Linked DNA regions of Macaca fascicularis. The protein of the gene in region 1 binds, or shares a complex with, the protein of each later gene. Links are inferred from orthologs where the notes say so. Each region holds a gene or a part of one and is shown on either strand. Other genes may lie near its edges. The genes, in order: E3 SUMO-protein ligase RanBP2, NUP160 and NUP205.

Region 1 (2,799 bases):
TTTAAAAACCTGGTCTCTTCTCATAAGGATCCGGTAATAGTTCTTCATTGTATGCCAAAGAATCTTTATATCTCCAACACCACGTTCCTTCCACTGACTGACATCCCGATCCCATCTATAAAGTTTGGCTCTCTCTTTAAACAAAATTTCTTCATCTTCTTCTCCAGATTTTACTTCTACCTATAATAGGAGATGAAATACTCTATAAGCTGCTGCTTATAATAAATTCCATGACAAATTTCAAAGATCCAAATTCTTTTAAGGCATTTTCTTTGTGATGACAAAGAGAATTTGTTAATATAATAATTGGTTATATATCTTAGGGCTAGGAATACATCTGATGTGGCTGAGGGAGTAAAGACCTGATTTGTCATTAAATATTTTCTTTTATATAGTATTCATTTTCCCTTTGGAAATTAAATGCTTTTCTTTATAGGAACAGAGGTTTCAAAAGTGTCTGCTACTGAAGAGAAATATATAAGATACTGAGGTTAAAAATGACAAAATAATTTTCCTAGAACAATGTTCTTGTCCAAAAAACACAGATTAATGTTTATTGAAAGGACTTTCGTATGAGGTTAATTTTTCCCCAGAATCATGTTATAAAAACAAACATGATATTCTAGAAACATACGAAAAAATTATTTCTTCCCAACAATTACATATAGAATTTATAAACCAATATTTATGTAAAAACTGCAAAAAGATAATTTATACTTAAAGGCTAGACATCTAATAAATAGAGCTTCCATTTCAAACTGTAAACATTCTTAAATGCAAACAATGATATCCTGACAGATCAAGCCAGGGTAAGTTTTAAACTTAAAAATGAAAAATAAGTTATTAGTAAAAGTTTAATCCCTTAACATTTACCTCTGGTAGTGACACTATTGGTTCAAAATGGATATCTTCATTATGAACTACTTCTTCATCACTACCATCTTCATCTTCACCAACTTTACCAATTGACTGGGTTCCAACTGACTGTGTTCCAAACACAGCCGCTCCAGTATTTGCCCATTGGAAATTTTTATCTGATGAATAAATCAAGATATTTAAACACTGGTATCTATTTTTTACATTTTTCATCCCCCTCTTATTTTATCAATCCTTCTAATTCCCGATGATGTAATATGTACATCAATTTTAAATGTTTAAAACTATATTATTCTAGTAAATTCCTCACACCTGTAATCCCAGCACTTTGGGAGGCCAAGGTCATCTGAGGTCAGGGGTTCCAGACCAAACCATAGCCAACATGGTGAAACCCTATCTCTTCTAATAATACAAAAATTAGGCCGGGCGCAGTGGCTCATGCCTGTAATCCCAGCACTTTGGGAGGCGAAGGTGAGCGGATCGCCTGAAGTCAGGAGTTCGAAACCAATCTGACCAACATGGAGAAACCCCATCTCTACTAAAAATACAAAATTAGCTGGGCATGGTGGCACATGCCTGTAATCCCAGCTACTCAGGAGGCTAAGGCAGGAGAATCACTTGAACCCAGGACGCAGAGGTTGCAGTGAGCCGAGATGGCGCCACTGTACTCTAGCCTGGGCAGTAAGAGGGAAACTCCGTCTCAAAAAAAAAAAAAAAAAGCCAGGCGTGGTGGTATGCGCCTGTGGTCCTAGCTACTTGGGAGGCTGAAGCAGAAGAATCGCTTGAACCTGAGAGGTGGAGGTTGCAGTGAGCCGAGATCGCCCCACTGCAGTCCAGCCTAGGCAACAGAGCAAGATTCTGTCTTTAAAAAAAAAAAAAAAAAAAAAAGTTAGCGGTGTGTGGTTATGGGTGACTGTAATCCCAGCTACTCAGGAGGGCTGGGGCAGAAGAATCGCTTGAACTTGAGAGGCAGAGGTTGCAGTGATCCAATATCACCCCACTGCACTCCAGCCTGGGCAACAGCAAGACTCTGTCTTACAAAAAAAAAAATTAGCCGGGCGTGGTGGCGGGTGCCTGTAATCCCAGCTACTCAGGAGGCTAAGGCAGGAGAATCACTTGAACTTTGGTGGCAGAGGTTGCAATGAGCAGAGATCATGCCATTGTATTCCAGCCTGGGTGACAGAGCAAGACTGTCACCAAAAAAAAAAAAAAAAAAAAAAAAAAAACTTCATACTGGGAGTACAGAATACATTTGTTATTGTTTATGCTTAGAGATACAAAGATAACACTGTCACTGCCTTGGATAAACTTCATAATACTAAACTACACAAGGACTTCCAGTAAAGAAGTTAAGTTCTTTATCTACTTCTAAAATTTCAAGTATTCACCTTGAAATTTTGTAAACTTAGCTCAGCAGGCCAAACCTGCTACTTCCAAATTAGCCACAATAGCCTAAACATGTTTATAATTTCTGCATCTCTACTTCTTCCTGAAGAAGCTAGTGCTGGAATGTAGATTTCTTGGCTGGGCTGGTGGATAGCAGCCTTGGGGGAACCTCACTGACTTCAACTGCCCAAAGGGTATTAGACTGTTAAACATTCTACTTCTGTGTGGGGGAACAATGATGGTCTCTCTCTTGCATACCTGCAAGAAGGTGAGAACTAGAAACTTCTCCATCCCACACCTCAATTTAGATGACCAAGTCCCCACTATCTTAGAGGAAAGAAACACCTCTCAACTTTTCATCACTTGCTGAATCACTGTCTTAAAGAACCCTACACCTTCTGCTAAAAACTCATAAGAAAGAAAAAATGTCACAGGGTCCATAACTCAGTATCTTAAAGAACACAATAAAAAACTCTCTTTAAGAAGGATTTAATGGAGGGGAAAAAAAACGTTTTTAAAGAGGAGAGAGGGAGGGCC
Region 2 (3,657 bases), on another chromosome or scaffold:
CCTCCCAAAGTGCTGGGATTACAGGCACTACATCTGGCCTTTTTCTTACTCTTGCTTGAAATTCTACCATAAGCAATGTATCTAGGTTAATAAGTTCTTTCTTTTATTTGGAGACAGTCTCGCTCTGTCACCCAAGCTGGAGTGCAGTGGTGCAATCTCGCCTCACTGCAAACTCTGCCTCTTGCGTTCAAGTAATTCTCATGCCTTAGCCTCCTAAATGGCTGGGATTACAGGAGTGTGCCACTAGACCCTGTTAACTTTTTTGTTTTAATAGAGATGGAGTTTGCCATGTTGGCCAGGCTGGTCTTGAACTCCTGGCCTCCAGTGATCTGCCCACCTTAGCCTCCCAAAGTGCTAGGATTACAGGTGTCAGCCACTGTGCCTGGCCTGAATTAATACATTCTGACTTAAAATGTATAAGTACATTTATACATTTTAAGTCGGAATTAAAATGGGAGCCCCAAAGGACTTTTGGCTATTTACACATTAATATGAATTGGTTTAACTAGACTGCTTCCTTGATAGGCTCAAATGATATTACTGACTTAGAAAAAAAATAGGACGTCTGACTGTGGGCAGAAAAATAATTTCTTAGCATGGGACATTCAGTAGGGTGGGTGATTAGGACTATATATTAGTAACAAGAGTCTGGTGGTCTAAGAAGAACAGAATGAAAAAGAAAGCACAGAATGGAGTTAGGAGGACCACAAAGATAAACTTGCATCTCAAAACTGTGTTTAGGGTAAGCCTTGCACTGTAGAGAGTTCTTAGGCCAGGTGAGGTGGCTCACGCCTGTAATCCCAGCACTTTGGGAGGCCGAGGTGGGTGGATCACCTGAGGTCAGGAGTTCAAGACCAGCCTGGCCAAAATGGCAAAACCCCGTTTCTACTAAAAATACAAAAATTAGCCGGGTGCAGTGGCACACACCTGTAATCCCAGCTACTCAGGAAGCTGAGGCAGGAGAATTGCTTGAGCTGAGATAAGGCCACCGCACTCCAGCCTGGGCGACAAAGAAAGACTGTCTCAAAAAAAAAAAAAGAGAGAGAGGAAAAAAAAAAGTTTTCTTTTTCTTCCTCCATACTAAAGATTACTCTTACCACATTCATAGTTACTAATAAAACTACATTTTGGGAGAGCCAACCTGGGATAATTTTCCACTACTACACATACAAAGGTTAAGAGTAAAGCAATCTGCTTCATATATGTTTCTTTTAATCAACTCTTAAGTTCCAGGGTACACATGCAGGATGTGCAGGTTTGTCACGTAGGTAAACGTGTGCCATGATGGCTTGCTGCACATCAACCCATCACCTAAGTATTAGGCCCAGGATCCATCAGCTATTCTTTCTGATGTTCTCCCTCCCCACAATCCCCTCCATACATGCTCTTAATCTATAATCTCACAAGGATTACAATGCTTATTCATTCTTAATTCAAAAATATTGATAGAGCACCTCGTAAGGCCAAGCTTGGGGGACTAAAGCAGTAAACCAAGACAAAAGTATCTGTGCTAGTAGGGCTGACATTTTGCTCCTAAGTGCTTGTAGGCTTATACCAGGTTTTAGATTTTACAAGTTTTCCCTCAAGCAGTACTTACGGCATCTCCAAGCCTCATTAACAGCTGCTGTAAGATCAAAAGATCTCGGCAGATCAGGAAACGAGTACTGGCGATTTTATGCACACCTCTGCACACAATATACCCTGCTGTGCTACTACCATAGAGCTGGGAAAGATTCATTCTAATATTCAAAGGCTGAGCTGTAAAAAGAAGAAAAGTGGAGTTGAATGCATCATTGTTTTAATCAAAGAGGCACATTTGTTGTTCTGTCATTTACCTGGATTGAATCCCTTTTCCATTTCCACTTCTGTTTCATAATCCATTTCCCGTATAAGGAGTCCAATTGCATGGATTGGGTTCCTAATCTCTTGCAGTTTACTACAAATATCCTCCATTACATTTTCTCTATAAGGACAATTACAAAACTCTTATTACTACCGAGAATACGTAAGACAAGTTCTATATGTCCTATAAGCTAAATACATTATGAAACAAGAGAACCAGATAAAGGAATGAAGATAATCACTCTGGCATACAAGATACAGTCCCTATACATAGCAAATTTCCTCAGTTTTTCATGAACAACACACAAAACAAATGTGAGAAGAATATTTTTGTTTTTTAGAATTTTTAGCTCAGTTAATTGTTAAAGCATATTTTACAAGTCTATTTCCAGACTTCAAGTCATGTGTTAAATTTTCTGTTAAAAGTAGAAATATGTATTTAGAATCATGGCACATCAGTTTGACTTTAAGCTACTACTTTGTACACTCTGGAACATACATTAAAATCCCAACTTCGCAGCTAAAAATGCTGAATTTCCATTAGGAAATGCACTTTACCCTAATTCTCCTTACACATCAATAGTGATCAAATCTTCCAGAATCTGCTCTGCAGCCTTTTCCGGAGACTGTAGGTTATAACAACTCATTTCCATAATAACTGACATATCCATAGTTACTGACTCTCCAATCAGCCGGAGGCATTTTATAAGACATATGACATCCCGAGCGATATCCACATCTACAAATAAGAGAAAGTTAATTTATGTCTTAAGCCAATGACTATCTATTGATTGCTACTACATTAAAATGTTAATAATTAAATGACAAGATATCTATCTGAGGTCTCAGAGATGCTTTGGTCCTTAAGTGTTCATTAAAATATTTGTGGTGTGGTAAAGTGACCAAGACAGGTGTGGCAATCAATATTTTTTGTATCCATGTGAAACGAAGCATAGGGTTTATGTAGGAAGGGGATTAAATATGGACATAACAATTACTATTACCATCAGATATGGTTGTCTCATCTTCTGTCAAAAGGTTCTCATAAGGCAGGAGATATAAATGATCCACTAAGGAGGAGGGAATAAGGAAAGACAGGTACCCCTGGGAAAACAAATTTTCCAGTTACATTTTTTTCAGTAAAAGTTTAAAGGTATAAAATAATTGAGATGTGCATCTTATCACGAGGAAACACGAGACAAACCCAAGTTGCAATACACTCTATAAAACAATAGGTGTAGTCTTGGCAGGGCACAGTGGCTCACACCTGTGATCCCAGCAGTTTGGGAGGCTGAGGTAGGAGGATCACTTGACCCCAGGAGTTCAAGACCAGCCTGGATATCATGATGAAACCCCATCTCTTAAAAAAAAAAAAAAAAAATTAGCCAAGTGTGGTGGCAGGTAGCTTTAGTTCTAGCTACTAGGGAAGCTGAGGTGGGAGGATCACTTGAGCCTGGGAGGTTGAGGCTGCAGTGAGCCTTAAGAGTGCCACTGTACTCCAGCCTGGGTGACACAGCGAGATCCTGCCTCAAAAAAAACAAAAACAAAAAAACCCCAAAAAACAAAAAACAAGCATAGTCTTCAAATAATGTCATTCTCATGAAAGACAAACGCAGATAACAGTTTGAGGGTAAGTAAAAGAGACACAGTAACTAAATATATATATTAAATTGGATCCTGGGCTTTTGGAGGCCAAGACGGGCGGATCACCTGAGGCCAGGAGTTTGAGACCAGCCTGGCCAACATGGCGAAACTCCATCTCCACTAAAAATACAAAATTAGCCAGGCGTGGTGGCGCATGCCTGTAATCCCAGA
Region 3 (3,657 bases), on another chromosome or scaffold:
AAATCAAATTACTTTTTGTTATTTCTAGTACGTCGAAAAATTCTAAATATTCTTGACTCGATTGACTTCAGTCAGGAGATCCCTGAGCCTTTGCAGTTGGATTTTTTTGATCGGACCCAGATTGAACAAGTTATTGCTAACTGTGAACACAAGAATTTACGGGGACAGACAGTCTGCAATGTCAAGGTGAGGGTTGCTTTAAAGTACATATCTGCAGTGTCAAGTGGCTCAGACCTTAAGTCATCAGAAACAAATAGAACCATACAGGTTTTCTTTCTGATAGAGACATTGGTTTACTAGTTTATAGGAAGGACTATGGTTTTTGTAAAATATCCCTGAAATAAATCTTAATGTATCACACTAACTTCTTGAAAAGGGATACTTAATATTTTGGCCTGGAAAGTGGACGTTGCTCTAGTTAGATTATATATAAAGGTATCTGACGCCTTTCCCTTTAGGGCAGTTTATGATAATTGCTAGGTGTTATTGTTCTACCAGTGTCTGAAATGTCTTATTTTTCTTTCTTTTCCTAATTATCCAGCTTCTTCATAGGGTTCTTGTAGCTGAAGTAAATGCCCTTCAGGGTATGGCAGCCATAGGACAGAGACCTCTACTCATGGAGGTAAGCTCTATTGAGTATGTGTTCGTTTCAACCTTTTAACTACTTAGGTTGCTGGTGAAAAGACTAAAATAGTATATTAACGTGTAGTTTGCTAATTAGTAAGCTACCTAAAAATTAAACATTTAGGGAGTCTTTCACTTTTGATTTTATAACTTTTATAAGCTGAACTATCTGGTATGCCGAAATAAATAACACCTTTTCTGCTAGACTAGTTAAGGATTTGCAGCCTGACCATATTTCGTATTATACCTCACTTGGTCCCCGTCAGTGAGAGAGGAGGGTCATTTGTCATCACAAGTGGAAAGTTACAGGTAAGAGGTCAGATGGGAAGAACCACATGCATGGAGACATAGCTGGCCAGGCCAAAGCAAGAGGCAAAGAAATAAAAGAGATGTCAGGGAAACATGCCATTGAACTTGGAGTTTAAATAATTCTAGTGCTCTAGAGTAAGCAAGTATAAGTAGATAGGTACAAGGAGAAAGAAGATAGTGTCAAAAAATACAAATTTATCTATGCCACCTCTGTCCCCTACCTTTCATGCACATACACACACACACATACACACCTTATATATTAGTATTTTTATAGCCCTGGCTACTGAAATAATATGAAAAGATATCTGCTTCGTGGCATGCATGTAGTAGGTTTCCAAATAGATATTTTCTGAGTAACTGACAGATAACTGACCTTATTTGCCTGTTTAACCTTGTGATTCCATTCCTGTGGCTTTAGGAAATCAGCACTGTACTTCAGTATGTGGTAGGAAGAAATAAATTGCTGCAGTGTCTTCATGCAAAACGTCACGCTCTGGAGTCGTGGAGGCAACTGGTAGAAATTATACTGACAGCTTGTCCCCAGGACCTCATTCAGGCAGAGGATCGACAACTGATTATTCGTGATATTTTACAAGACGTGCATGATAAGGTGACATACTTCCTAAATTACTTTATACTGCTGAACAAATATGTATCATTTAAACGAATAAATTTTGGCACCCCAATTGTTTTCCATTTTTGATTAGGAATAAAATAGAATTGCACAATACCAACATTAAGACTTTCCTTGAGAAAGGGATTAATTCTGTACAGTAGTGACTGTCAACCAGAGTGTGTGTCCGAATTATCTAGGGAGCTTTGTAAAAGTTAACATGGACAGAGCCCACCCCAGACCTACTGAATGTAATGGTGAGACCATTTATGTGAATTTCAAAAAGAAAACCTCCTTAGGGAATTCTGATAGGAATCCCTTCTGGTTAAGAACACCCATTACCTAGCATCATATTTAAATTTCTCTGTATATATTAGATTTTTTTCTTTCTTTTCTTTTTTTTTTTTTGACTAATTTCTGTATTCCATTCTTATATTGTTGTCACAGTTGACAAACTAAATATATATAAAACTTGTTAATGGGCTGTATGCAGTGATTCATGCCTGTAATCCCAGAACTTTGAGAGGCCAAGGTGGGAGGATCGCTTGAGCCCAGGAGTTTGAGACCAATCTCCTGAGGTGGGAAGACCACCTGAGCCCAAGAGGTCAAGGCCGAAGTGAGCTGAGATTATGCTACTGCACTCCAGCCTGGGTGACAGAGCGGGACCCTATCTTAAAAAAAAAAAAAAAAAAAAAAAAGCTGTGAAACTTGTTAATGATTATAGCTGAAAGCAGGATTCTCACTCTGATTTGCCCTTGTCCTTTAAGATACTGGATGATGAAGCAGCGCAGGAGTTAATGCCTGTAGTCGCTGGGGCAGTGTTCACACTGACTGCTCACCTGAGCCAGGCCGTCCTCACCGAACAGAAGCAAACATCAGTCTTGGGACCAGCAGATGCCCATTACGCTTTTATGCTTGATAGTTCCTTCACCTCACCTCCTCCAGAAGAGAACCCATTAGTGGGTTTTGCTTCTATTGGAGATTCTTCACTTTACATCATATTGAAGAAACTGTTAGACTTCATTTTGAAGACAGGTTTTTTTCATCTAAAATTTCTATAAATTCTATCCATTGTATTTGTTTTAACTTTAATTGAGAAAAGATTTTCATTTGACATCTTCCTAATCTCCCTAGGTGGTGGATTCCAGCGAGTGAGGACTCACTTGTATGGCTCTCTGCTTTATTACTTACAGATTGCCCAGAGACCTGATGAGCCAGACACCTTAGAAGCAGGTAGAATGAGATCAATTCCTAATCTTTTCTGGATTGGGAGATGGTTACTTTAAACTGAAAAAAAAAAAAATCACTTCTCCATCTTTTGACTAATCACAACTGTAATAAATGAGTGTTGGTGTCATTTTTTAAAGCATTTACTCAAAAGTTGAGGGAGAATGTTTAGTTTTTAAGAATTATGAAGTAATACTTGAATACTGCTTTTAAAAAAACCTTCAAATAATACTTTAGGTTTATATACTTCTGTAACTCCCTCACTTGCCTCAAGTCCCACTGAGCAGTATGCTCTACATAGAATGGCCCAACGTCTTTCTTTCCTTTGTGCTACATCAGAGTACATATCTAGTTGATTCTTTTAAAATATCTCTTCCTGGCGTGGTGGCTCACGCCTGTAATCCTAGCACTTTGGGAGACCGAGGCCGGTGGATCACCTGAGGTCAGGAGTTCGAGACCAGCTTGGCCAACATCATGAAGCCCCATCTCTACTAAAAATCAAAAAATTAGCGGCCACGGTGGCTGGCATCTGTAATCCCAGCTACTCGGGAGGCTGAAGCAGGAGAATCGCTTGAACCCAGGAGGCGGAGGTTGCCCAGATCATGCCACTGCACTCCAGCCTGGGCAACAAGAGTGAAACTCCATCTCAAAAAAAAAAAAAAAAAAAAGCCACAAAAAGTCTTTGTTATTCCATGATATGGATGAAACACTTATTTAGCCATTTTCCTTATTCATAGGCATTTCAATTGTTTCTAAATTTTTATTACAAAAATGCTACATCAATTTTTTTTATATGCCTATATTTCTCAGAAAGGATGCTGCTTAATGGTAGAATTTCCATGTGAAAAAGTATGTACTTTTATTTTAATAGATGCAAACGA

What was found.
Region 2: E3 SUMO-protein ligase RanBP2 (region 1) and NUP160 share a complex: the UniProt entries of both Homo sapiens proteins name them as parts of the nuclear pore complex. The link is inferred for Macaca fascicularis from reciprocal best matches to the Homo sapiens genes RANBP2 and NUP160.
Region 3: E3 SUMO-protein ligase RanBP2 (region 1) and NUP205 share a complex: the UniProt entries of both Homo sapiens proteins name them as parts of the nuclear pore complex. The link is inferred for Macaca fascicularis from reciprocal best matches to the Homo sapiens genes RANBP2 and NUP205.

What each region holds. Positions count from the first base shown.
Region 1 is NC_088387.1:16,275,492-16,278,290, reverse strand, and holds part of E3 SUMO-protein ligase RanBP2, read right to left. Parts: intron 1,035-2,799; coding exon 874-1,034; intron 181-873; coding exon 1-180. UniProt on the Homo sapiens protein: E3 SUMO-protein ligase which facilitates SUMO1 and SUMO2 conjugation by UBE2I. Involved in transport factor (Ran-GTP, karyopherin)-mediated protein import via the F-G repeat-containing domain which acts as a docking site for substrates.
Region 2 is NC_088388.1:18,019,222-18,022,878, reverse strand, and holds part of NUP160 (nuclear pore complex protein Nup160), read right to left. Parts: intron 2,947-3,657; coding exon 2,847-2,946; intron 2,582-2,846; coding exon 2,416-2,581; exon of another isoform or gene 2,401-2,415; intron 1,964-2,400; coding exon 1,836-1,963; intron 1,759-1,835; coding exon 1,598-1,758; intron 1-1,597. UniProt on the Homo sapiens protein: Functions as a component of the nuclear pore complex (NPC). Involved in poly(A)+ RNA transport.
Region 3 is NC_088377.1:177,292,154-177,295,810, forward strand, and holds part of NUP205 (nuclear pore complex protein Nup205), read left to right. Parts: intron 1-28; coding exon 29-186; intron 187-541; coding exon 542-622; intron 623-1,354; coding exon 1,355-1,546; intron 1,547-2,316; coding exon 2,317-2,584; intron 2,585-2,683; coding exon 2,684-2,782; intron 2,783-3,657. UniProt on the Homo sapiens protein: Plays a role in the nuclear pore complex (NPC) assembly and/or maintenance. May anchor NUP62 and other nucleoporins, but not NUP153 and TPR, to the NPC.